3 linked regions of the Cricetulus griseus genome follow. The protein of the gene in region 1 interacts with the protein of each later gene in a pairwise test. Links are inferred from orthologs where the notes say so. Each region holds a gene or a part of one and is shown on either strand. Other genes may lie near its edges.

The links.
Region 2: the proteins of Ddit3 (region 1) and Dbp interact in binary tests that used the Homo sapiens proteins (3 or more experiments, as listed by UniProt). The link is inferred for Cricetulus griseus from reciprocal best matches to the Homo sapiens genes DDIT3 and DBP.
Region 3: the proteins of Ddit3 (region 1) and Mcmbp interact in binary tests that used the Homo sapiens proteins (3 or more experiments, as listed by UniProt). The two-hybrid records come from large-scale screens. The link is inferred for Cricetulus griseus from reciprocal best matches to the Homo sapiens genes DDIT3 and MCMBP.

Annotation. Positions count from the first base shown.
Region 1 is NW_023276806.1:130,434,694-130,438,440, reverse strand, and holds the start of Ddit3 (DNA damage-inducible transcript 3 protein), read left to right. Parts: upstream 1-1,461; 5' UTR 1,462-1,676; coding exon 1,677-1,716; intron 1,717-3,747. UniProt on the Homo sapiens protein: Multifunctional transcription factor in endoplasmic reticulum (ER) stress response. Plays an essential role in the response to a wide variety of cell stresses and induces cell cycle arrest and apoptosis in response to ER stress.
Region 2 is NC_048599.1:154,605,678-154,609,424, reverse strand, and holds the start of Dbp (D site-binding protein), read right to left. Parts: upstream 2,551-3,747; 5' UTR 2,485-2,550; coding exon 2,346-2,484; intron 1,578-2,345; coding exon 1,167-1,577; intron 1-1,166. UniProt on the Homo sapiens protein: This transcriptional activator recognizes and binds to the sequence 5'-RTTAYGTAAY-3' found in the promoter of genes such as albumin, CYP2A4 and CYP2A5. It is not essential for circadian rhythm generation, but modulates important clock output genes.
Region 3 is NC_048596.1:72,047,549-72,051,195, forward strand, and holds part of Mcmbp (mini-chromosome maintenance complex-binding protein), read left to right. Parts: intron 1-2,112; coding exon 2,113-2,278; intron 2,279-3,167; coding exon 3,168-3,301; intron 3,302-3,647. UniProt on the Homo sapiens protein: Associated component of the MCM complex that acts as a regulator of DNA replication.

The sequences.
Region 1 (3,747 bases):
TGAGTGCATGACAGACTGTGTGTGCTAGGCCACCACATGGCCTCTGTTTTCATGGCACAAAAAAATACGTTTCGCAAGGTGTTTTTTACTTTAGTTCAAGTTGCCCCCCTCACAGTGGTCTTTCCTTCCAAATCTCGTTCTTTCATTTACAAATTAAGGTAGAATCTGTGTTCCCTCCGGTAACGCAGTCCAGGGCAGGCATACGCTCAACTGCATGCACGTCCCAGTCCTTACTGTAGGTCATGACCCCAGACTCCTACAGGCCCGCTGCTCAGCAGGGAGTCACAGGACTTGCGGTCAGGGAGAAGAGAAAGGGTGGGCGCCGAGCAGGGGTGCGATAAGTAGGGGGTGGGACTCGGGTGCACGCTACAAAGAACAGGAATTCTGGCGTGCAGTGGGCGACTCAGAAACAAACGCCAAAGGTGCTCCCCCGAGACAAGCGGGTGGACTACCATGGAAATGCCAGGACCTCAGCCTCTGGGAAGCGTTAGGAGGTTAAAAGAGATGAGATCCCTTCTAAAGGGCTGGAGAAGATGTCAGTCCAGGTAGGACTAATGGAAACTTTATCGCGGTTCCAGGGCCTCGGCGCGCATGAGCTGGGAGGGGCCGGGAAGCTGGGAGTCTGGATGGAGGAGCAAGTTGGAGGTGATGGGAGGTGGGTGGGCAGAGCCGCAGCTCCTGGGCAGACAAGTTCAGGAAGGACAGCCGTTGGGGCCGTTGGATACTGGGAGCTGGCGCTCCGCCCTCTTCCCTCTCACCCCCCCACCCGCGCCTCCCACCACCGTCGGCGGCCCCTGCGCGTGCGCGCGCGCAGACACCGGTTGCCAAACATTGCATCATCCCCGCCCCCCGTCATCCCTCCCTCGCCGCACTCTCCTTCGCCCGCCCGCGCGCGCGCGCGCGCGCGCGCGTGCATGACTCACTCACCTCCTCCGCGGAGCCTCGTGACCCAAAGCCACTTCCGGGTCCGAGACAACGTAGCTCTCCAACCAGAGGGCGGGGCGGAGGCGGGGCCGAGGGGGCTCCTGAGTGGCGGATGTGAGGGGTGGGGCGGAGTCAGTGCCAGCGTGCCGCTTTCTGATTGGCAGGCTCCTGGGTCCCGCCCCCAAAAGAGGGGACGGGCCCGCATAAAATATCTTCTCTCGGCGCTGCAGAGGTCAGTAGCCTGAGTCTCACACTTCGGTCATATCATGTTGAAGATGAACGGGTGGCAGCGACAGAGCCAAAATAAAAGCCGGGACCTGAGGAGCGAGGCGAGTACCGACGCCGTCTACCCCTTCTTTCCCCATTCTCGCCAGCATGGCTAGTCCATAAAGTTGGGGGCGACTGCTCTGGAGGATGTAGCCCCACCCCTTCCAAAGTGGCCCTGTAGTCGGAGGGAGGGATGGAGGCGGGAGTCCCTGACCCTGGAGTGGCGCTCACATGACCCCTCTTCCTACGGGCGATTGCATCACCGTTCCCCTGCCTAGTTAGACTGTGCCGTTAGGCAGAGGGACTCTGGTTGTCCCCGGGAGATCCATCCTCCTCCTCTGTACGGCGAACTGCGGGCCATCCTAGGCCTGTCCGGTGAAAGGCGGGGCAGCAGGACACACCCCCATATAAAGGACTCTGGCTTTTCCCCCTCTTATCCAACAGCTTCGTTATCCCCGGCTCTCCCAAGCTCCTCGGGGGCCAGCATGGCCACCTTAGTCGCTGACCCTAAAGTTCAAGAGAATCGTAAGACTGACAGACCTTTGCTAGCGGGGTGCTGGTGGGAGGAGCACAGATGGGTTTTCCCCTTTTCCCCGGAGGCTTCTGTACAAGAGAGCAGCCTGGATCTGTAACCGTGGGACATTATTTGGGCTCTCTCCAGGGTCTTGTGCTGCTCCTAGGATTGAGTTCTGTCTCTTTCCCCAGTCCACTCCTCACTAATCTCTGTAACCATTGCGTCAGGCCGGCCCACTGTTTATCTCTGCGCCCTCTGGCCTGGGGCTCCACTGCTGATGAAAGCCAGGCCCCACACACTGGAAAACCGAGGGAGTTTCCCCCAGAGGACAGCCCTGCAGAGAAACACTCAGGGCAATATTGCATCTCCAGTCCCCAGAGATAGGCAGCACCGGCTCTGCCTCTGGGCTTAGCCCTCCATTCTCTGTAGGGGAAATTGGGGGAGTGGCTTTTTCCCTATTCATTCCTAACAAATGCTTAATAAACATCAACTATGTGCCAAGCATTTGAGAACCCAGAGTATATGAGGAGCAAAAGATAAAACTGATCTCAATTCGGCCTGGGCCTGTATTTCTGCAGAAAGCAAGAGCTGACAAATAAGAGTGCTCAGGATTGTGGGTGTTAGGAATTGCCTCACTGGGGTTTTTAGTGAAAGATCCAGAGAAGGCAAGCCTGTGAGCCATGCAGATAGAGTAAACGAGCTTTCCAGAAGGAACTGTGGGAGCAGAAGGGTTAAGATAAAGCATGTCTGGTAAAATAGGGCAGTGGCTGGATGGGAGTGAATATGAGAGAGGGTGGGGTAAACAGGAAGCCACTGGAGGGATCTGGGTAGAGGAATGAAATAAGGCCCAGTGTCATGGCATATGTATTTGATTCCAACACTCAGGCAGGGGCAGGCAAATCTCTGAGTTCAGGAGCCAGGACTACATAGTGAGACCTTGACTCAAATGAATACAAAAATAAAAGGATGGGAATGTAGCTCAATGGTAGACTGCTTGCCTAGCTTATAGAGGACCTATGGTCAACCCCCAACTATGAAACTAAACTAATAAAAGACAGGAATAGAAATGGTAGATCTTGATAGAGCATGGTGACATACACCTTAATCCCAGCACTCAGGAAGCAGAGGTAATAAAATCTGTGTGTATTTGAGGCCAATTTGGTCTACATAATGAGTTCCAGGACTGCCATGGCTACATCGTGAGACTCTGTCTAGAAAAAAAGAAATGGGAGATTTCTTGAATGAGTCTTCCACAGTAATCTTCGGGAAGTGAGGTAAATTGATTTCCATTTGGAAATAATGGGAACAGAAATACTTAGGCTTGCTGGATGGCAGTAACCCACACCTTTAATCCCAGCACTTGGAAGGCAGAGGCAGGTGGATCTCTGTGAGTTCAAGACCAGCCTGGTCTATAGAGCAAGTTCTAGGACCTTGTCTTGAAAAAAAAAGAAAGAAAATACTCAGGCTTTAGGTACTTAAAAAGAATGTATTAAAGCTGCCTGTGCTGCTTTATACTGAGTTGTGGGGATGTGAGAGGAGGAAGCAAGGATACCTTTTTTTTTTTTTTTTTTTTTTTTTTGATTTAAGCAAGTAGAGTTGCCACTTAGAATAATACAACCTAGGAAAGGAAAGGCCAGCAGGAGATTGTTGTAAATGCCTGATAGACATTCAAAAGGTGATATAGCAAGTAGACAACAGAGTTGGAGGTCCCAGGACAGGTCTAGACCAGAAGCGGCCAATATGATATTGGAGTATATGTAGCAAGTGCCACCCACATATTTTTCTCTTCCCTGTAGTGCAGCCCTCACTCTGGCAGATTTGAGGTCTATCTGGAATTTAGAGAAAGCTTAGTTGGCTAGGATGTTGCTATTATGTAATCAGGACAAATGTCAGTAACTAAAAATAAAATCAAGCTTGCCTCTGTCCTTGGAATTGGCGCACGTGTGTGTGTGTGTGTGTGTGTGTGTGTGTGTGTGTGTGTGTGTGTGTGTGTATGTGAGAGAGAGAGAGAGAGAGAGAGAGAGAGAGAGAGAGAGAGAGAG
Region 2 (3,747 bases), on another chromosome or scaffold:
GCAGTCTTTTCTGCAGTTTAACACAAAGCCTGCCTGTCAGGCACCAACCCTATGACAAAGACCCTTAGCCACCATGAAAGCAATTCTACCTTTATGACTAAGACACAAATAACTGGACTTAAATGTCCTGTGAGTCTGCTAATAGCGTCTAAAACCTTAAAACTTAAGATTTGGTATTTATTTTGTTACCACTCTCTTGTCTGAATCCTACTTACTGTATTTTCTGTATGCTCAGAGTTTTAAACCTGTTAGACTCACTCCTAAGAGTGATGGAAAAGCAGAACTGCCCCGAGGTTCCAGGAGTTGGCTAAAAAAGCATGATGCCTGTGTCTTTAAGAACAGACAAGCCGGGGCCAGCCGAGGACACGGGTTCAGGGCCACATCACGTGTGACCGACTGCTTCCCCCTCCCTCCCCCACCACGCACCCTCACATTCCCGGGCCCCGCCTCCTCGCGCGTGAGAGCGCGTGCGCGCAGCAGGGAGGGAGGACTCACGTGGCGCGTGAATGTGCAGCACTGGTTTTGCCTGGAGGTCGGATCAGGGACAGGTGTACCCAGGCGTCCCACAACGAGACTCCTTGTCTTGATAGGGGTCGCCTCCCCTCTTGTTCCTTTTGGTCTCAGCTCCAACAACTCCAAGGATTTTTCCCACCCACCCCGCGTTTATGGGGATCATGGGAGAACCAACCGGCCTGACAGGCCCTTTGACACCGGGACTCCCACAACTCTGATACTAAGTCCCAGTCGCAGGAATATGGACAACACAGAGTCGGTACCCCGACATTCTCTGCTAAAAGACTCTGGGAGCCAGGGTGCAACATCCTTTCCACTGGGGGTGGGGGAAGAGGATCCGGGAACCTAGTGCCCAGCTCTGGCCTGCTCCCATTTTTGATGTCCTTCAAGTCCAGTCCTATCTCGTTTCGCAAAATTCTGGACACAGACTTGGAGTCAGTCCGCTCCCCAGTTAACTAAGTGTTCTGAGTTTCTAGTCTTGACTCCGGGAACGTGAGGAAGCTTTTTCCTGAAGAAAAACACAGCCTCTCACCGGATAACCCTCACATTTGGGGGCCCAGGTCCCCTAACGGACCGCCGCATCTCATTGGGCAGACTTCCAAGAGCGTCGCGAAGCCCATCCCCTGCCCGCCAGCCCCGCCCCTTCGCCGCACCTGCGCGGTGGCCGCCGCCGGCTCCCAGAGTAGCCCGCGCGGGGGCGTGCCCCGGCGAGGAGCGGGGGGAAGAGGAGCCGCAAGAGCCGGGCCCCGGGGAGGGCGCGGGCGTGCGAGCTGGAGAGGGTGCCGGCGACAGGACCCCGGGGGGCGGCGGGCTCGGCGGGAGCCCGTGCTCCAGCAGGAAGGCGTCCAGGTCCACGTATTCCACGTCGCCGAAAGGCAAAGTGCGTTCCCACAGCAGCGGCGCAAAAAGACTCGGGCCAGCCGCCGGCCCTGAGCGCCCCCGCGGGGACCCACCGCCACCAAGCGCCCCAGTCGGGGCATCGGCTGGGCCAGCCGTTTCCAGGCCCGGTCCCGGGATGGGAGCTGAGGGCAGAGTCGCCTTCCGCTCCTTTTCCTTTAGGAGACCTGTGGGTCAGGGAGAGACGGGATGGGGTGGAGACACACAGGAGGGACCCCAAATGAAGAGATGAAGTATAGAGACCCGCATGGCGGAGATGCAGAGAGGTGAGGAGATGGGAGCAGTAGAGCAAAGACCCAGAGATGTGGGAACAGGTAGGGAGACAGGCGCCCAGAAAGAGGAAAGGCATACAGACGGGGTTGAAGAGACCCAGAGAGAGGAACAGTGTATAGAGTGTATAGAGGATAGAGACAGAAACACAGAACAACCCAGAGGAAAAGGATGGAAGTTTAGAAAGAGGGATTTAGAGACAGGGTGGGTCAAAGGTGAGAGACAAAAAGTGACAGCTCAGTAATTCCCCCACCCCTGGCCCTCTCATCCCCTCCCCCACAACGTTAGGGGCAGGAAGGGGCTCCACTGCTCAGGCACATTCCTCATCTCTAGTTTCCATGTGAGCGTTGAGGCCCCGCCCAAACCCGTGTCAGCACCGTGTGAGCATCCGACACACCCCCTCCCTTCCCCAGGACTACAGGGGTCCAGACTCGAGACTAAAGGGGAAAAACTGGGGGCTGGCACATAGAGTAGGTCCTAATGGCGGAAGACTTTGGGGACTAGACCCTTGGGCCTTTCGGATATCAGATTTGGCCATGGATGGAGAGAGACTAAACACCTGAGTGACCGAATGAGGACTGGCAAAGATGGGGCACCTAGCACATAGGTGCCATAGACCACCACCCCAACATTTGAGTCCTTAAGACAGTGGGACTAGAACTCACAGCTGGCTGGCTCTTTGGGCTTGCCGGTCCCCTGTAGAAGGCCCCGCAGCCCAAGCAGCGCTCCCCCACCAGGGGGGGTCCCGGCCGGGCCTCCCAACAGCAGGGGGCCCGGGGTCCTGTCGCTCAGAGGCCGCGCCATCGCCGGACACCTGCTCCCAGGTTCATGAGCTCATGGAGAGTCGAAGAGATGATATGCCAGTCACCTGCACACTCCTGTGGTTCGGACGAGTGTGACCCAGGGTCGGGAGAGCGCGGTGTGCAAGCCTCCAATATCAGAACGCTGAAAATCCTAAGAGCTCTGCGGGGGTCAGCCAGTCCTCTGCAGAAAGCTGTAACTCAAAGAGTGTCCCGGGAGGATCCTATAGTCTGGGCAAGTGGGTGACCAAGCAGCTGTCTCTTCTTCGCAACTGAGGGTCCCCAAGGGACACAGGCGCGCACTCCTTCTGTACCAGGTGGGCGAGCCTCTGGCTCTCGAAAAATTTGCACTTCTCGCAAGGAAAGGAGCTTTGCAGTCTGCACCTAGAGGTGTGCGCCCGGGGGAGGAGGAGGCGGCAGCCTTGAGGCGTGGCAAAAGCAAACTTATTTCGCGGAAAAAAAAAAATCCAAACCAAAACACCCGAAGTCAGAGCGCGTGCCCCTCCTCCGGGCCCCCTCCTCCTCTTGGGCCATGCATCCCAGCCGCGTGCCTGCCTCCGGCTTCAATCAAGGCCAATCAGGTCTCGAACCCTTGAGATGCCCGGCCAATGAGGTGACGGAATCTGCCAAGACCCTGGAGGCGCGTGAGGGGTTGAGCTTGTGAAGTTGCCTCTCCTTTTGGAAGAAGGCGGGACACTGACCTACATTTGGCCAATGAGAGGAGGCACTGGGGGCGGGACCGTGACCCACTTCGAGCCAATGAGGCAGGAAGAAGGGGGAAGCACATGGCTCCGCGCGTGCAGTCGGATTCGGGTGTGGGGCAGGAGGGGTGCATCTTAAAGGAGCAGCCTATTCACGGGCTCATTGCTTGGGAAAAGCGCAGAGCGCCAATTAGAGCATGTTAAGGCAGAAAGAAGTGGGCTTCAAGAAGGATTAGTTACTAATACCCAGATACTTCTCAATCGCGACTGAGAATCAAACCCACGAGAGGCTGGAAGCATTCAGTCCTTTAATAGGTTTGTTTTAGGGTGACTCCCCTTTCCTCGTGAGGAAGCTCAGGACAGGCGGGAGTAATCTTCGTAGGGGGTCTCAGCGACCATGAGAACCAGCATCCACTGCAAAAGAAGGTGCCGGCTTGTGGTGGGGAGGTTGAGCGCAGAAGGCTCTGCCACAATCTGGCTGCTAACGAGGGCTGGAATATACCAAGTTGGGGAAAATAGCTTCTCAGACTATATAGGGAGGGAAGAAGGTCAGACGGAACGTGCAG
Region 3 (3,647 bases), on another chromosome or scaffold:
TAAAGCGGCCTATCTCCATACCCTAGTTTTAGGTGCTGTTTGGAAGCATCTGGAACATACCATCTGTGTATTGGGATCTTGGGAACAGGAGAATTACTCTGATGAGTTGTGTAACTAAAAATGCTGGCCAATTCTATGGGATTTAAAAAGTGAAGCCAGGTCCTTAACTGAACAGCCTGTCATGTCTGTACTTCAGGCCCTGCAGAAGCAGCAGAGTTCTGAGGACTTAGGGCCATATTCAATGGGCTATGCTTTCCCTAATTTCTGACATTAGTAATTAAAACTGAAGACATGTTGAATAATCCATTAGATTTATCAACATAGTGATAAAACTGACACTGTTTTGCATTTTACCAAGCTCTTGAATTTCTAAAGTAATGGGAGACCCCTAGATTTTTAGTCCGTTCCCAAATTCACACCTGTGGTATGTTTTGATCTGGTGTGTTTCTTAGATGATAGCACATTCTCTATAGTGAAAACACTCTCTGCCCTCTATTTTGAAAGAGTAAGAGTAAAAATGGGACTTTCATTCATAGACCCTGTTAATAGGATCTTAGCAGTTCCCTAGGCCTACAACTCCTGAAATAGGATCTCTGAGTTATGTGTTTGTGGTTCAAGACCAAGAAAGTAATCGCTGGTGTGTGCTTTTAAAAGTTACAGCAGAACACTGAAACCCTTGAAATGGGATGGGAACACTGGGGGTGCCCATATACCCATTAATACAGAAGGGAGCAGACCTGGTGGCTGCCCGGGAACATATCATGTTTTCTTACCTGGAGGACAGGCAAAGGCAGTAAGGAACAGCGTGACTTCTAAGGGATGTCAGCAAAGAAGCTGGTGTGGTACCAGCTGTGCCAAAAGCCATCAGATCTCAGTTGTGAGGCCAGAGGTTCTTGGCACACTGAAGACACTGGCTACATTATTACATGGGAGGGTGGCAGAAGGGGCTTAGAGACGACAATGTGGTAGGTGTTTGCATTTTATTCTGGTTAATTTTCTTGCTTTGCTTTTTTCTGACCCTGTCTCTTTTATCACTCTTAGCATACTGGTTGGTACTAGGCCCTTTCTCAATTGTCTTCTCTCTGTAATACAACGTTCAGCTTTTACTACTGGTTAAATGTGTCCTGCCTGTAGGTCTACGGCAGAATCAGCCCCAGCCCCAGCACATGGACACTTTTTTGTTTTAAAGTGTGAAATTTTTATGTATATAAGTGTTTGGCTTGCATGTATATCTGTGCATCACAAACATGCTTGGTGCCCATGGTGGTCAAAAGAAGGTGTTGGGTAACCTGCAACTGGAGGTATGGATAGCTGTGAGCCACTGCTGGGAATAGAGCCCATGTCTTCTGCAACAACCAGTGTTCTTAACCACTGAGCCATCTCTACAGCCAGCTACCTTTTTTGACAAGCCCTGCCTCTTCTGAGATTTCATCTGTATCTGTAAACAATTCCTGTCCTCTTTTTAAGAGTAATTGAGCTAAAGTACAAAATTCTCTTAAATTTTGGCTGTAGTCTTCTTCCTCCTCCACAAACTTCCCATGCCTTGCTTTTCTGGAGGCTGGAACATATATGAGTAGAGCAATCTAGAGCAGACAGGAGACTGTTGAGTGTGTTAGAGGCAGAGATGGGGGAGGGCCATGCTCTGGGCTGTAGTGTTGACAGTGAGGTCTGCAGTGGTAAAGGAATGGGGGCTTTCAGTCACAGAGCCTTTTCTCTGGCCTCCGTGAGGAGGACCAGCAGTTCTTATGTTTTACTAGTTCCTATCCCTTAATGAGGTTCAGCTTCTGGGGATGTTATGTTTGAACCTCAGTTGTTTACCATTTGTTTCAGAGTAAAATTTACTCATCAAGACTTGAAAAAAACAAATTTTCTTTGTATCTCTGTGTGGCCTTCTCTGTTTAGCATGTTCCAGGCCCAGCTGAAGACAGAACAAGCAGCTATCTATAAGAAGCATGGGTTGTAGTGTGGCCACAGTTCCTAAGAGAGACATTTGTCTCTCCCTTAGAAATGATATACCATGTGAAACACAAATGTTTTGACTCCAAATATGTATCTGTGCATTTTTTTAAATAGAGAAACTTGTATCCTTGCTCATTACAATTTCTGTCTCAGTCTTTTCGTCTACAGATGACAATAGAAAACATGAACCAATTGAAATTCATTCCCCACAAAGACTATACAGCCAATCGATTGGTCAGCGGTCTCCTCCAGCTGCCCAACAACACGTCCCTGGTCATTGATGAGACTCTTCTAGAGCAAGGGCAGTTGGACACCTCAGGTACGCATGCAGATGCCTCCTGACCCCTTGTGGCTTTACTCCATTTAGCCAGATCTAGCAGTGGCTTCCAAGACAAAGTTACATTTAACAAATATTTTTAAAACATTCATTTGACTAAAGCATATACTACAAATTATACACCAACTGTTTTGTTATGTCATGCTGTTGATTGCTTATTAGCTCAAAAAAGGATACAAAAGATTTAATGTAATATTTTATATTTCTCATAAACAGTTTTTATAGTTTGGGGGGGATAGAGCATATGGTTTAAACTAACATCAGCTATGTAACATGTTAAAAATGACAAAGAACATACTAGATCATGCCCACATGGAGAGAATGCAGGTGATATTGTGCTGGTATGAGGCTGAGGCACAAAAGGTGGATGGGAGAAATAATGAGTGTTTGGAATTTGTGAGCCAAAGTGGAGCATAGAATCAGTAAAGATTAGCCAGAAGTGGTGGCACCCACCTGCATTGGTGGTAGAGACAGAAGAACTAGGAGTTCAAAGCTAGCATGGGCTTCAATAAAACCCTGTCTCAAAAATACATAAATTGGGAAAACTCAACAACCTCACTTTCTAAAGAAATCATTTTCCTATCTAATCATAGCCATGACCTAAGAAGTAATGAACTTATCTGAGTTCTACTTTGTGTCTGGTATTAGATTTGGGTGTATTTTGGCCCCAGAAAGTTCAAGTTGGCCTATTATTGTCTGTGTAGCTTATCTAGTTGACATTTGACTTGCCAACATTCTGCTTGCTAAATTGTTGGCTACTGTTATCTTTCTTTAAGCAGCAGAAAACCACATGTCCTATTATCATTGCCAGCCAAGCTAATTTGCGTAGGTGATTAAAATATCACTGCCAGTAACAGTCTTCCTCTTCCAGGTGTTCATAATGTGACTGCGCTGAGCAACCTGATAACCTGGCAGAAGGTGGATTATGACTTCAGTTACCACCAGATGGAGTTCCCGTGCAGTATCAATGTGCTCGTCACATCTGAGGGGCGGTCACTGCTCCCGGTATGATGGCCCCCGGCTAATAGAAGGAGGTTACAGTGCAAAGATTATTGTTGCCATTTTGTCCGTTTTTATTATTTTCTGTCTGTGTGTGCAGGTGCACGCACTTGTGTCAAGAGCAGGGGTCAGCTTCAGGGCTTGTTTCTCAGGAACCATACACCTTGTGTTATGAGTGTCCAGCAAACCCCAGATTCATCTGCCTCACTTCCGGTCACCCATCATTTTTGTGTAGATTCTAGGGATTAACACTAGTCCTCAAGCTGCAGGCATTTTTGTTTTGTTTTGTTTTGTTTGTTTTTCGAGACAGGGTTTCTCTCTGGCTTTGGAGGCTGTCCTGGAACTAGCTCTT